2 linked regions of the Macaca mulatta genome follow. The protein of the gene in region 1 interacts with the protein of each later gene in a pairwise test. Links are inferred from orthologs where the notes say so. Each region holds a gene or a part of one and is shown in the gene's direction. Other genes may lie near its edges. The genes, in order: RBSN and EHD1.

What was found.
Region 2: the proteins of RBSN (region 1) and EHD1 interact in binary tests that used the Homo sapiens proteins (3 or more experiments, as listed by UniProt). The link is inferred for Macaca mulatta from reciprocal best matches to the Homo sapiens genes RBSN and EHD1.

Annotation. Positions count from the first base shown.
Region 1 is NC_133407.1:153,898,363-153,902,172, reverse strand, and holds part of RBSN (rabenosyn-5), read left to right. Parts: intron 1-36; 5' UTR 37-203; coding exon 204-351; intron 352-3,810. UniProt on the Homo sapiens protein: Rab4/Rab5 effector protein acting in early endocytic membrane fusion and membrane trafficking of recycling endosomes. Required for endosome fusion either homotypically or with clathrin coated vesicles.
Region 2 is NC_133419.1:9,513,501-9,517,410, forward strand, and holds the start of EHD1 (EH domain-containing protein 1), read left to right. Parts: upstream 1-1,094; 5' UTR 1,095-1,163; coding exon of another isoform or gene 1,164-1,186; coding exon 1,187-1,590; exon of another isoform or gene 1,591-3,910. UniProt on the Homo sapiens protein: ATP- and membrane-binding protein that controls membrane reorganization/tubulation upon ATP hydrolysis. In vitro causes vesiculation of endocytic membranes. Acts in early endocytic membrane fusion and membrane trafficking of recycling endosomes.

The DNA of each region.
Region 1 (3,810 bases):
GAATTGGCTTTTTTCCCTTCTTCTTTTCTTTCTTAGGCTCCTCCTACTCCAGAGAGGAAACCTCATTCAGGGCCATGAGGCTACTTCCTCACCGTCTGTGTGCTGCTTAAGCTAATGCTGTGGGAACTATGATTCCTTGGGAGGAATCAAGCTGACTCTTGGCATGAGATCCCTGCCTTCCTAGGGTTGAGAGCGGCACCGCCATGGCTTCTCTGGATGACCCAGGGGAAGTGAGGGAGGGCTTCCTCTGCCCTCTGTGCCTGAAGGATCTGCAGTCTTTCTATCAGCTTCACTCACATTATGAGGAAGAACACTCGGGCGAAGACCGTGATGTCAAAGGGCAAATTAAAAGTAAGAGGCAAGGACCTTGCTGGGTCATATATATACTATATAGGACCTTGCCTATACCCTGCTGTCATTGAGAGCTTTAACTCACGGGATAGTTCTCATCAGCTTCAGTGTTGCCTCGGGAATATGATAACAGTAGTAGCAAACAAATGACTAGTGTTTGTCATGTGCCAGGCATTTTCAGAGTCTCCCTGTTTATTTATTTCATTTAATCCTCACAATAACTGTGTGGCTGTGAGCCACATTTTGCACCAGACACAAAGAGATTAGATAACTTATCTAAAACCACTCAGTGAAACACAGTTTGACTTTGAATCTAGTAAATGTAATTGCTGTGATCTGGCTTGACTATTCTCTAACTACTAGCCTAATAGAATTTGGAGAGGAATTTCTTCCTTTGCTATGATGATGGAGGCACATTATGCACCCATTTTACCTGTCACAAATTTAAGCCTACCCACCATCCTTCCTTCCCCAACTGGTATCTTGCCCTCTGTAGCCCAGAAAAAGGAAGGTCGTAGTTGAAAAACAAAAGAAACAATCTGAAAACCTTGGTTTTTGAGCTTCCAAGAGCTCAGATCTGAGAGAGTTGTGGAAAGAATTTTTCAAAGGTAGTTTTGACTATACATATGTTTATTGTATTTCCTGGACATCAAATTCTAACCTCCAGATAAGATGCTTCTCCTCTGGGCGGGCACAGTGGCTTATGTTTCTATTCCCAGCACTTTGGGAGGCCAGTGTGGGTGGATCACTTGAGCTCAGGAGTTCAAGACCAGCCTGGGCAACATCGCGAAACCCACCTCACAAAAAAATTTTTAAAAAAACTAGCCGGATGTGATGGTGCACGCCTGTTGCCCCAGCTACTCAGGAGACTGAGGTAGGAGGATCGCTTGAGCCCAGGGAGGGCAAGGCTGTAGTGAGTGATGATCGTGCCACTGTTGCCTGGGCAACAGAGAGAGAGAGACCCTTTCTCACACACACACACACACACACACACACACACGCACAACAAAGATGCTGCTCCTCTGGAACTTATTTTTGTAGTTTTCAGCTAACTTGCTTCTCACAGCTGGCAGCATTTCTGAAGGCCATGAGATTAAAAAGTTCTGGATGCTGTATTCACAGTCTTTATTGGGAGGGAAAGAAAGGAATGACCATATATTTCTAAGTGTGCTTTGGCTTTCTGACAGGTGACTCATATGTACTTTGTAATCACATAGTTGTCCCTAGAGTCCCACTCTATCTCACTTTTCTGTTCAGTAAAAAAGAGTTTCTAAAAGCATAAACAGTTGCAACTTCTATCCAAAAACAACAAAGGCAAACATTTCTGAAATCCTGAGGGCTATGGTGGATGAGGTGGCTTCTGGCTGTAGAGGCTGTAGAGCAGAGCCAAAACTATTAGGAGGGGAAAAAAATGCTGTGCTTTATAGTTTTTAGAGTTTATTTCACAGACATTATTATTTCATCTGACTCTCCTAACAACTCTGCAAGAAGGTGATTGGTCTTATTTTATAGATAGTAAGTGAAGTGAGGCTCAAGAGATGTTGAGTTACTTATCCACGGTCACACAGGAATTGCAGAGCTAGGCCTGGAATGTAGGTCTTCTGTCATCTCTATGTCCAGTGCTGCTGTTTGCATGTGACATCACAGGGTGAGAGGCCCCGTGTTTCAATCACAGCGTGCATTGCAGCTTCCTGGAGGAAATGAAGCAAAAACAAAACTGAAAAACCTGATTATGTAAGTTTCCTTTGCCAACCAAAGGAAGAGCCTCCATCATTTTCAACTAGCTTCCAGTCTTGGTGTCAGCTGAACTAAGTCATATACAATGCCATTGCTAAAACTGGTGATGCCAGTGGGTAGAGAGGTTAGAGAATGTTCCCCGATTCCTTCACTGACCCTTTTTTAAGAGGAAGAGTGTTTAAGGTTATTTAGAGAATACAGATACGGGAATCTATTTAAGGAATACTAAATAGAATGGAAATTTTGTGCCTTATGAAAGAAACTTGAAAGGATCCTTGGCTGGGCACAGTGACTCACACCTGTAATCCCAGCGCTTTGGGAGGCCATGGCGGGAGGATCGCTTCAGCTTAGGAGTTTGAGAACAGCCTGGGCAACATAGATCCTGTCTGTACCAAAAAAAAAAAAAAAGAGAAAAAAAAATTTTTTTTTTTAGTTAGCTGGGTATGATGACATGCACTTGTAGTCCTAGCCACTTGGGAGGCTGAAGCAGAAGGATCCCTTGAGCCCATAAGGTTGAAGCTGCAGTGAGCCATGATTATGCCACTGCACTCCAGCCTGGGCAGCAGAGTGAAACTTTGACTCAAAAACAAAAAACAAAATAAAGTTACTTCAGCCAGGTGCAGTGGCTCATGCCTGTAATTCTAGTACTTTGGGAGGCCAAGGCAGGAGGATTGCTTGAGCCCAGGAGACCAGACTGGGCAACATAGCGAGACCATCTCTACAAAAAAATTATTTAAAAAAATTAGCCAGTCATAGTGGCACGCACTGGTAGTCCCAATTACCCAGGAGGCTGAGGTGGGAGGATCGCTTCAGCTTGGGAGATCAAGGCTGTCACATTCTAGCCTGAGCAACAGAGTGAAACTGTCTCAAAAAAAAGAAAGAAAAGATCCTCTTGGTTTACCCTTTATCTCCCACCCTGCCCTACCCCCTGCATCTCTACCTCTAGTACTACTAATGATCATATCTTTAGTTAGAAAGGAATTCTTGATTATGTTGCAGTTTTCTGCATTTCAGAATCAGGAAAGTAAAGTTTTAAGGATTGACATGAAAGGTTTTTTGAAAAGCCCTTTAGAAAGCAGATTACCTCTCCATTTGGTCTTTTGATTCTTAGAAATGTTATGACATGGTTAGTTTTAGGCAAGTGAAAAGTTAAAGCCAAAAGAGTGAACCTTAGTATTAGTTTTTGGGGGCAGTTCAAAAAAGAAAAGATAGACTAGTCATTAGGAAAAAGTTTGTGGATTCGAGACCCAGTCCTGGTTCAGCTCCAGTTTAGCCCATTTTCAGTAAGTAGAAGAAAAGATAGCTGAAAATTGACTGTGGCTTCTTGCTTTGTTATTGTTTTTAAAAATATATGGGATTATTCTTAATTGACCTCCTGTGGAAGGGCTATGTCCATTCTGGGAAGATTGCCAGGTAGTTTTGCTGTCTCCTAATGTGGTTAATGGTATAGATTGCCTGTTTAACCTGATACTCTAGTCTTGTTTGCAAAAATGAATTGTTATTTGCTAACTCACATTCCTGTTTGCTAGACCCTTTGTTCACATCAGGCAGTTTCCTCTCCCCTGTTACTAGAAAAGACTACTTTAGGCCAGGGACAGTGGCTCATGCCTTTAATCCCAGCACTTTGGGAGGCTGAGGTGGGTGGATCACCTGAGGCCAGGAGTTTGAGACCAGCCTGGCCAACGTGGTGAAACCCCGTCTCTACAAAAAAAATACAAAAAT
Region 2 (3,910 bases), on another chromosome or scaffold:
GCCAGGAACTGGTAAGGGGAGGTAGGCATAGGTCCCAGTAAAAGATGGTAAATGATGGTGACCTTGAGAGGAAAGCGGAAGTATTTGGGTTTTTAAATTTCCCCCTAAGTTCCCACAAGATTTCATTGTTGCACCCACACTTCCCCACTTCCCCGCATAGGGAATTTTCAATTTCACTTCCCAAAACGCAAGTGACCAGAGGGCCTCAACTTCCTCATGTCCTCCTGCCCTGCCCCAGCTGTAACCTCTGTGGGGAAGCCTTCTCTTCTCCCGCGCGCGTCCGGTGTCACCCATGTCCTCCCCCGCTTGCGTCCCTCTCCCACTCCCACCCCTTCGGCCTGAGGGGAGGTCAGGCCTCTCGCTGCCCGTCAGTTTGCCCGTGTGCCCGCTTCTCCTTGCCCATTTTTATTTCCCCAGTCACCGCCCCGCCCCGGATTCTCTACTCCCTCAGCTTGCTCTGCTACCACTTTCCTGCCTCTCCCTCTCCCAAAGCAGATAAAAGATGAGGGGACAAAGACTGTGTGTGTCTGGGAAGCTGGGCAGAGACGAGTAGGTGCCGCGGGGGTACTCCGATGATTCCGGGGATTCTGAGCCAGCGGGAGGACGGCACGTGGGGAACGGCGGGCGCGGCGCGTAGTCAGGGAACCAAGGCACTGGGCACTGGGTGTCTCGTGGAGCCATCCCGCGGGGGTGTGGGGGGTCCACGGTGCTGGAAGGCGCGCAGGCCCACGGACCGTCGCCGCCTGACGCCTGCTCCTCGCCTTCCTAACCGCAGCACTTTCGCGAGCCTCCACACGAGGGGCGGGGCGAAACAGGTACGGTTGCCACGGCACCCGGACCACAGCCTCGCGAGATTTGGAATCAGCCAATGGGAGGTGGGGGAGGGGAAGACGTGGCACAAGTCTAAGGGGCGGGGCCGGGAGGGGCTCCTCCCTACCTCTCCCAACTGCGCCCTGCCCCCGCCGCGGCGGCGCGAGCCGCCCCTCAGGGACTGACCCTATAAAGGCCGCTCCGCGAGGAACGCGCTCCATTCGGCAGAGGGCGCTTCGGCTGGCTGGGCTGTGCGCCTGCGCAGTGTGGGTCGCTTCTCGTCCCCTGCCCTGGCCTGCGGCGCCTCGGCTCCGCGCCCACGCCCCGCTCTCAGCCGCCGCTCTGCCCCGCAGCAGCCAGCCCCGTGTCCGGCAGTATGTTCAGCTGGGTCAGCAAGGATGCCCGCCGCAAGAAGGAGCCGGAGCTCTTCCAGACGGTGGCTGAGGGGCTGCGGCAGCTGTACGCGCAGAAGCTGCTGCCCCTGGAGGAGCACTACCGCTTCCACGAGTTCCACTCGCCCGCGCTGGAGGACGCTGACTTCGACAACAAGCCCATGGTGCTCCTCGTGGGGCAGTACAGCACCGGCAAGACCACCTTCATCCGGCACCTGATCGAGCAGGACTTCCCCGGGATGCGCATCGGGCCCGAGCCCACCACCGACTCCTTCATCGCGGTCATGCACGGCCCCACTGAGGGCGTGGTGCCGGGCAACGCGCTCGTGGTGGACCCGCGGCGCCCCTTCCGCAAGCTCAACGCCTTCGGCAACGCTTTCCTCAACAGGTACCCACCCATCACTCCAGGGGGCGGGGGGCGCGGCCGGGGCACACACCGCACTGGGAGCCTGACCCTCCCGTGGCTGTCGCCCCGCCGTCCTTTGTCTCCGAGGCCCCAGTGAGACCCTCAGTGATCACTCCCTGGTCCAAGGGCCCTGCCGCTTCCCAGAGAAAACCCGCCGGTTTTCTAAGAGTGGGCGTTGCCCGCTCCCCCAGCTTCTGTTGTCCCCAGAATCTTCCAGGTTAACCACCGAGCCCTCCTGCAGATCCCAGCCCCACTCCCCTCAGAACCAGGGCCGCGGTGGGAAGCTGAGCCATTCCTGGGCTCCTTTTCTTGGTCTCCACCTCCTTCCCGCAGACTGGATGCACCTAATTCATGGAAATCAACCCTCCCTTCCCTGTCTCCTTAAGTGTCAATAGCAAAACACAATGAAACTTTTAGTCATTCCCTTTTCTGGTGCGGGGTGGGTCTGCTCTGCCTCCCCTGGGAGGGTGGTTTTGTGTAGGAGGGAGGAGGAGGATCTACTGTGGCTTGCTGACTTTGGGGCAGCCCCTTGGAGGCAGGGGACAGTTGAGGTTTGAACACTTCTCCCAAAGGCAGCTCTCAAGAGGTCAGTGCTGCCTTGAGGGATTTCAGGAAGCAGGATGAGGTGGTGGCAGTGGGAGCCCTGCAATGAGATTCTGGCCCTAAGCCCTTCTGTGCACTGAGAGACAGAATCTGAGGTTCCTGCACCCGCTTGGACCTCATTTTCCCAGTGAAGTGGCCTCTGTACACGATTAGAGTGATCTCCAGGACTCTGCCTCTCTCAGTGCTGTGAGTGAAACACAGTGCCCCCGCCCCTCAAGGAGTGCAATGGCCAGGCTCACTTTTCTCCAAAGAAACTTGAGACATCCCGGTCCCAACCCCCAGGCATACCAAAGTACTTCATACGAAAGGACTACCTACCAAAGTACTTCACAGACCCTGCCCTCCCTGCCGCCCACATTCACGGACTCCACATGCCTTTCAAATTCTGCACCAGGGAAGCGCCTCTGAAGGAATCTTTGAATCCTGCCTTCCAGGTCGCCGCCCTGCGTGGTCACATTCCTTTCCAGATGCCATCTAGCCGTGCAGGGCAGCTTGCCCTAGAGCCAAGCCGGTGGCCAGGCCTACTCCATGCACAGAGCTGACCTTCAGCAGGGTCTGTTGCCACTTCCAGTCATTTCAGACCGCCCTCCTGTTTTGTGGACGTTGATGTTTGTCTATCAAGGTCAGGTTGAGTGCAGCTCTTTGGGCTAGGGGCCCTGAAGAGGCAGGGTCCTCTTGCTCTGACCTTACCTCGTTTCAAGATTTGTGCTTTGCGCACTGGTAGAGAAGTGATTAGCTGAAACCATTAGCTGGTGGGAGCCATTCGACCCTGTGAAAAGTTTGGCGGCTGTGCCAGAAAGTCCAAGTGTTCGGTCTCTGCTTCCATGCAAAACTTTGGGAAACCGTGGGAAGGGTCACTGCCCCCGCTGCCTCTGCTGTCCTGAGCTCTTCACTTTCCTTGTGAGGGCACACCTTTTTTGAAAGGAGAAACATGGCACAGGACCAGTTTTCTGAATTTGGAAGCCTAGAGTTTCAGAGCTGGAAGGATCTTAGACATCGTCTCCGCAGCTTCCACCTCACTGGTTCAGGAAACCGAGGCTCAGAGGGTCCAGCTGATTTGAGGAAGTCACCCCTTAGGTCAGCCAGCACTGACTGCCTGGTTTTTGCGCAGCCAGTTACTGCCTTCTGCTGCTTCTACCTGAAAAAGAGCAATTCAGGATTGCTTTGTCCGAGACTGGTGCTTTGATGACTTTGGTGCCACAGGATCTGAGAGGTGGCACACGTTTATTTCCTTCTTGCTGCCACCTCATCTCCAGAGGATCCCTGATCACTGATGGCCTTGCTGAAAGGGCCCTGTCAGCCCGCGCTGAGGCCCCGAGCTGTGTCAGGATGTGTAGTGTGGGGAGTGTGCCCGGCGAGGAGGGTGCAACAAAGGGGGCTTTTCTCTGGCTGATACAGCCTCTCCCGGCTGAGTCTTAAAGAGACTCATTGAGTCGTGAACTTGACTTTCCGACCTTTTTCCCATATGTGGCTGCTCTAAGAATAAAATCAGCTGGAGCAGACCAAGGCAAGGTGCAGTCAGGGTGTCGTAAGAGTGTCTTGCGAAAACTCATTGCATAACTGGGACTGCCACCTGTGCGTCCTTGGTGAAATGGAATCAGAGGCATCTTTGCTGCTTGCTGCCTTTCTTGTTTTCTGCCATATACCCTGGGCTCTGCAGAGCAGCTGGTTTCTGGGTCCTGTAGATATTAACTTGCTT